2 linked regions of the Caenorhabditis elegans genome follow. The protein of the gene in region 1 purifies or fractionates together with the protein of each later gene. This does not show direct contact. Each region holds a gene or a part of one and is shown on either strand. Other genes may lie near its edges. The genes, in order: mrpl-40 and nola-3.

Region 1 (4,291 bases):
ACTCATTTTCCACCGCTTTTCTGCAAGTCGTCGTCAGATTCAGTGTTTGCGTACTTTTAGGGTTACAGTACCCCTTACACCTCCAAAATCAGCGTTTCCAGACCCAAATTTCACGCTGAATCCAAATTTATTAATTTCAGATCGCTCTGGAAGGTCTCCGAGTGCACATTCCCCCTGGAATCGCCCGTAATATGAACCGTTTGATGAACATTTGCATGAACGAGGACCCGGGACGTCGGCCAAACTTTGATCAAATCATTCCGATTTTAGAGAGAATGATATTATGATTTATCGATTTTGCTTTTCTAATGTTTTCAACAATTTTTTTAAAATTCAATTTATCAAAGCTTTACATCAAAAGTGCCTGCTCCTTGTCCAGCCCCATCGCATTTTCCGTCTATATATTAATTTTAAATGTTAAACTGTCAAAAAAAATTGCTCAATTTATGAAAAAATCAATAAAATCTTATGAAATGTAAGGATTACTGTACGCAAACACTCTTCGACAAAAAAGTTCGCTGCAGTAAGTTTCATGTATCCAAATAATCAGTTGCCAAAAATTTGCACGTGTAGCCTAGTGGCTAGTGACCTCGCCCGCCAATCACAGGGCCTGGGTTCGATCCCCGCAGTGGCAAATTTATTTTTTCCAGCTCGGTTTCACTGAAATTTTTAGTTTTTTCCATAAAAATCGATAATTCCTTTATTAATGCGTCATCCTATGTCACTGTCTACAACAAAAATACCCATAAAACACATAAAAATCAACAATTTTCGGCTCTAAGATGCCCAATTTCTCGTAGTATCAATGTAGTCGCCGTCCGGAGCCTCGTAGTTTCGAATGGGCGGAGTCAGTGAGGGTCCCTGTAAGAAATTTTAAAGGATTTTTCGGAATTTTTTAATTTTTAGAAAAAAAAATTTGGAAAATTCCAGGTTTTTTAAAAAAATTTTTTAACCAATTTTCGGAATTTTTCGCAAAATGTCAGTGAGTTTTCAGATTTTTCTAATAAATTTCGGTATTTTTGACATTTTCTCAAGATTTTACATGTTTTTTGGGAATTTTTAACATTTTCTGAAATTTTAAGCATTTTTTTTCGAATTTCTAGCAATTTTTCAGATTTTTAGCGAAATTTTTGGTATTTTTACGACAATTTTCAGGGATTTTTCAAAATTTTCCCGATTTTTAGGTAATTTTTTTGGATTTTCGGATTATTTGGGGGAATTTTTACATTTTTTGCAATTTTTCGAGAAAAAATTTGAAAATTTTTGGGGGATTTTACAGATTTTTAAAGGTTTTGTCGCAAAACTTCTGTGCTTTTTCAGCAAAAACCGGTATTTTTGTGTATTTTCCGAAATTTTTGGATTTTCTCGAAATTTCCGGGGATATTTCAATTTTTTAGTGAATTTTTTCAAAATTTCCGCAAAAATTTTAGAGATTTTTTAGAAAGTTTTTTTTTTTGAATGATTATTTGGGAATTTTGAAACTTTTAGAAAAAAAAAGTCGAAAATTCCAGGTTTTTCCAGATTTTTGGCAAAATTTTCAAGATTTTACTAATAAATTTCGGTATTTTTGACATTTTCTCAGGAATATTTAAACATTTTCTAAAATTTTGGGCATTTTTCCGAATTTCTAGCAATTTTTAAGATTTTAATGAATTTTCGTGAGTTTTTCGGGTTTTTCATCAATTTTTTGACCATTTTTCTTCAATTTCTCCGCTACCTGAACAATAAGCGGTAAATCCTTGGCTGCTGGCTGTACAGCCGCCTCGTAGAGCTCCAATTTGAGCATTTTCAGCTCATTTAGAGCTTTTCTCTGCGATTCGATGGCTCCACGAATCCACGCGTCATCCTCCTGCTGCAAAGCCAACCGGGAGCGTGTATAATCCTGAAAATCCACGGATTTGAAGCGAAATTCTCAGATTTTTACCTTCAGAGCGATGGCTCGTTCGTCAATTTGCTCCAAGGTGAGCTCGGTGCGTGGGCGGCGGCGTTCTCTGTAAGAATTCCGAGTTTTTAGGCAGAAAATCGCTGAAAAACCCGATATTTTTCGCGGATTTCACGTCCAAAGTGAGCTCATCCACTGGTTTCGGCTTTTTCGAGTGCTTTTGCATCTGACGAATATCCTTTTCCAGCCGTTTTCTGCGTCGGGTCTCTCGCTGCTTTGCTACCTGGAAAATTTTTGAATTTTTTCTCAATTTTTATTAAATTTCCCGTTTTATTCAATGAGTAACTGTAATTTTCTCTACCTCCGGATCAATTTTCTTCTGTCTTTTCATAAAAACCGAGGAGCCGGCGGGAATTGTTTGATGAATTTGGCGGGTTTGAAGTAGGGAGAGCCGGGAGAGGCTCGCAAGCAGGCTGGAGCTCATTTTACCTGGAAAAATTGGAATTTGAAGTGATTTTACATCAAAATCATCAAAATTCTGAAGAAAATAGTCGAAAAAACCAAGGAAACCTCCTAAAAATCAACAAAAACAATAAAAATTTAATAAAATAAATTCCCAAACGACACTCCGCTATCCCACCCCCACGCGTTGTTCACCGTAAATCTACACAAGCTCCGTCTCTCACTTCCCCACACTCTCTCGTCGTCCCTAATCGATTTTCGGACAATTTTCCGCGTTTTTATTGACAATTTTTGAGTTTTAATAAGGATTTGGCAGCTAAAACACTATGGAAACCATTTTCGAAGACGAGGAGACCATGATGGCTGCTGAGCAGAGTTCTTCAGGGATTTCTGCCAATTGTGAGTTTTTTATCAAATTTTTATTAAAATTCAGGTTTTTTTTCAAATAAAATCGAATTTTTTTTCAGCAAATAGCAACTGTAGTGCATCGAAAACCGAAAAAGCGTCGAAAAAACCGAAAAACGCCATTCCAAAAGTCAAAAACTCTGGAATTCACAAGAAACCCGCCAAATCGGACTTTGACGAGTTTCTGAGCAGCATGAAGAGCCGATTATCTCAAGCTACCAGTATGAAAAGCGTACGTTTTTTAGAAAAATAAAATTTCCAACCTAAAAGCCGATTTTTTACAGAATAAAGAGCAACTCAAGATGTTAGAGGAGACGCAGAAGCTTATTTTCGATAGAATCACAAAGTCAGCCGATGCGCGGGATATGGAACATTTGGAGAAGCAAATGAATAAACTTTAAATGTGCTTTCTTTATTTTATTTTTTTTTTAATTTTGTGGCAAAAATCCATGTAAATTTGTGAAATTATGTATCAATCGCTGTCGAAATAAATTATGTATTTTTTTTTTATCATGTATTATTCAAATTTTAGAAGAAAATTGAGCGAAAAACTGCAAAAAAACCGCAATAAATAGCCGAAATAAATTGTAAAATCAAAGGCGCATGACATTTCCCGTCTGTTGGGTCTCGCAGCGCGCGTCTGACGACGCTCCGAATGCCGCCGAAAACATTGTTTATCCTTTTCTTTTTCTCTCCCGCTCTCTCGTTTTTGCATGCTCTCTCGTCTTCGCTTTCGAATTTAAATGGAAAAATGCAAAGAAATTAACGAAATAAATTGAAAAATGTTATTTTTCAGCTAAAAAATGATGAAAAACGATGAGCAGGACGATGTGGACGTGGTGAATGTGCCGACAAATATCGATTTTCAGTGCAATTTATGCGAATACGTCGGGAAATCCGATCGAAGTCTCAGTGCACACAAAAGACACAGACATCCACGGCCAGAAGGTCAGGAAGATGATAAAAAACCAAGGGTAAGGCGGATATTTCAAGATTCTGATTGAAAAACGAAAAAAAATTTAATTTTTTCCAGGGCCGACCGAAAAAATACGAAGATTCTCCGGTTCCACTGCAACGAGTCACCACAAAACAGCTTCTCGGCGGTCGAAAACGTCCGAAAACGATAGTGGAATGTGTGGATGATTCGGCAATAAGTAATAAATCTTTTAAAAAATCTGTGAAAAAACGATTTTTTGCTTCCAGGAACCGATAAAGAAGCTTCTCGCCTTCACGGACTCGGAATTATTGACGAAGAGACTTCCCTTGGGGATTATGTTCGCCGTGGAGCCAATTATCAGCTGATGGGCGGCTCGGACATGAATTTAGACGGAAATTCCATGATTGTCGGCCAAGAAGTGGTTATTGATCATGAGGAAGACGAGGAAAATGACGATAGTCCTATGTTGGATTCGGTAAATCGAGGAAAATTTGTAAATTTCGAGAAAAATTTTCGTGAAAATTGAGCCAAAACTGATGAAAATGGACGAGAATATATATTTAGCATACCCAAAAATGGTCTGCTAAATATTTAGCAGACCCAAC
Region 2 (2,981 bases), on another chromosome or scaffold:
GATCTTTGTCGGGATGCGAGGTTATCGAAAAGTGAATTGGTTCTCCGTTGAACTCGAAAGAAAAATCTTTGAAACTCATCAACCCTGTAAACCTGACAGAATCAAATTCGAAGAAATCTAATTTAAACCTGAAGTATTTGTAATGAGGATTCAACTTGCAATACAATTCCTCACTTTTTCAACATTTCATACTTTATTTGAGAGACAACAACAATGAGAAGAAAACAACAAGAATAGTACAAAAAGAATAAGAGAAAACGGTGGAAAAAAGACTAAAAGCTAGTCGTCAAGATCGTATTTCGAAACAATTGGGGGTTTGATGCGTAACTTGGGATCTCGTTGTCGTTCTAGGGCCTCTCTGAAACCATGAAAATATTATCAATGATTTTTTCAATTTACACAAACCTTCGATCTTTGCCTTCTTGTGGAGTTAAAAAGCGACCTTGCATAGTTTGCTCATCGACAGTCCAAAGGAACATATCGTTGAGAGTATAACCAAAAGCTTTCCATCCAACGAAGAAAAGAACAAAAGAGACGATGATACGACGACGAGACACCTGAAATTATAAAATATCGTTTGGAAAAATGCGAGATTTGTAAATTACCTGTTGATAATTGATAGGTTTATTGGGGGTGAAAGAGCGGATTTTTTGCCGCAACATGCGGCGCCACTCCCAAACCAGCATTTTAGCAAACGGTCTTTGCCTTCTGGGTTGGCAAGAGTCCGAAGCGCTTCTTGATGATGATGCGATATTTGGAGTTCTTGTCTTCCGGCGAAAAGCGAGCTGGATGAGCGGTAAGAGTTTGCTCTCCAGATGGAGCAGTTCTCTTCAAAGTGTACACTCTTTGTTGGTTCTCGTCCAAGAAGTATCTCAAGAACATTGTCCGTTGAAAGTAGACTGAGTTCTGAAACTATCAATGATTTCTAAAACTTCTGAAACTATAGAGAAATATGAAATAAATACGGCGCATTGCAACGAAAAAAAGAATTAGCGAGAAAGAATGAAGGGGTGATTTCATTAGATATTTTTAAAAATTATTCCAAATTTCACGCATAACAGAAAGAAAACAAAACAAGAAGGAATATCACAAAATGTTTGATGGAAACCGGTAAGAAGTGAGGATAATAGGCACGTGCTGAGTAGCTGATCTATATAGATAAAATGTGAAAACAAGTTGAACTAATCTGGCGTACGAGAAAAGAAAAGGTAAATCGATAAATATATATGTACAACGGGTATAGTGGATCGTGAGAAAAGTGAATCGGGACAAGAGACTTAGAGATAAAAAACGTGAGGCAGAGTTCACTCAATAAACAACAAATTTTCCGAAAAAACATCTATGTATTATTATAATGGGCCCATTCCGAGTGTGTGGAAAACATAATCCCAAAGAGAAGTCGAAATTCCGAAGCCTGAAAAATGAAAATAGGCCTGAAATAGGGAAAATGATAGAAAAATTTCGATTGCGAAAATGAAAGTGCAAACGCGCTCCATCGCAAATCTGTGTAATTTTCCGTCAGAGAACATTATATTTCACGACAATTTGCAGATTATAGAAAATCTCAATTAAAAAACAGTTTTTAATGTTCTTGACTTAAAAATAACAAATTAAAAATTGATTTTTAAACAAAATCCCGTTAAATGTAACTTACCGACGTCAAAGTTTTTGAAGTGGTGATTATGATGATATACTTTTCTAAAATGTAAATTGCTGCGTGGACGAGGACTTCCGTGATGTAAATAATAGTGTACCATATCGTAGGTTACATATCCAAATAACTTTCCAGCGCCAAACGCGCAAAACACTGGCCTAAAACGATTAACTGAATATGGGAACCAGGAAAGGTTTAATACTGACCATTGGAAGGTATTGGAGTAGATTAAATAGAAAATTCCAACAATCAAAGTAGCTGGAACCGGAGGGAACACAAGGCGGTCTCCGTCCATCGGTGTTTTATGGTGAAGTCCATGAGCCAAGAAATGAAGAAGAATCTGATTCGGCGAATCTGGAGACGGCTTCCAATGGAAAACCCATCGATGAAGACTGTATTCAGTGAGAGTCCATGTCAAAACTCCAATGACGAACCAGGCAGACCACAGGAGAATCGAGTTATAAACATCGGTGGATGTTGAAAATGAGAGCACTGAGAGGATAGAAAAAGTAATGACGATCGGCATCCAAACAGCAGGGACCACCCACCAAGCTGTTCTTGTCATGCTTTCCAACACATCCGAATCGAAAAGTCTGAAAAAAAGTGAAAATTTGCATTGAAAAGTCGAGATCATCAATACCTTAAAGTTCCATCATATGGTTGATGAATCCAATGCCAATATTCAGAGCCAAGAGATCCAACTTTGAAAAGCATTCCGGATTTAGACTCAATCAATGGATCACCCTAGAATTTTAGAAATATTAATAATTAGATTTGATGGAAGGAACGAACTTTTTGAATTGCATTCACATTATATCTCTCGAGCATATTATAAGCGGCTTCCGAGTGCTCATGACGTACACCCATTATCCTTTTTTCTCCTCTGATAAATTCTCCAATTTCTTCTCCAGCCAAACGATTCAGAACCTATAAAAAGTTTGAGATTAGTAAAATATCCTAAAACTTGAAAAAAAGTTACCTTGGCACCTCCCGGATGTTTAGGCGCAAAATCAGCAATGTCATAATATTGCCCGTCGAGTTGTACTAGCAACGGCTTCTTCTCATCTGCTCCTATCCCCATATTTTCCACTGAAATATAGAAAATTATAAATTACGAAACGTTATAAATATAGAAAATATGAAACGGGGAAAGCAATATGATCATGATCTCATAGTAGAAAAATAAGTAGCAAAAGGAAATGAGCACATTCACCAGAAAACGTCATTTTCCGGTCAAGAAAAGCAGCCATATGAATTGAGGTTAGGGTATATTATGGGGACGCAGAAAAAATACCTATTCAAATTGAAGTGCAAAGCGCGCCGCCTC

The links.
Region 2: the proteins of mrpl-40 (region 1) and nola-3 fractionate together in Caenorhabditis elegans (co-fractionation; one large-scale study listed by BioGRID). This does not show direct contact.

What each region holds. Positions count from the first base shown.
Region 1 is NC_003281.10:85,639-89,929, reverse strand, and holds mrpl-40 (Large ribosomal subunit protein mL40), read right to left. Parts: upstream 2,372-4,291; 5' UTR 2,367-2,371; coding exon 2,244-2,366; intron 2,166-2,243; coding exon 2,035-2,165; intron 1,992-2,034; coding exon 1,925-1,991; intron 1,883-1,924; coding exon 1,718-1,882; intron 862-1,717; coding exon 778-861; 3' UTR 687-777; downstream 1-686. Other genes in the region: Integrin-linked protein kinase homolog pat-4, read left to right, coding at 141-287; F54C4.4 (NAM-associated domain-containing protein), read left to right, coding at 2,671-2,743, 2,812-2,981, 3,034-3,150; attf-3 (C2H2-type domain-containing protein), read left to right, coding at 3,553-3,723, 3,783-3,903, 3,953-4,161.
Region 2 is NC_003279.8:10,176,943-10,179,923, reverse strand, and holds nola-3 (Putative H/ACA ribonucleoprotein complex subunit 3), read right to left. Parts: upstream 883-2,981; coding exon 688-882; downstream 1-687. Other genes in the region: C25A1.20 (Proteasome assembly chaperone 3), read right to left, coding at 1-79; C25A1.16 (uncharacterized protein), read right to left, coding at 280-358, 406-557, 606-686; fath-1 (Fatty acid 2-hydroxylase), read right to left, coding at 1,350-1,414, 1,655-1,812, 1,861-2,247, 2,295-2,398, 2,447-2,581, 2,634-2,735. UniProt on the Caenorhabditis elegans protein: Required for ribosome biogenesis. Part of a complex which catalyzes pseudouridylation of rRNA. This involves the isomerization of uridine such that the ribose is subsequently attached to C5, instead of the normal N1.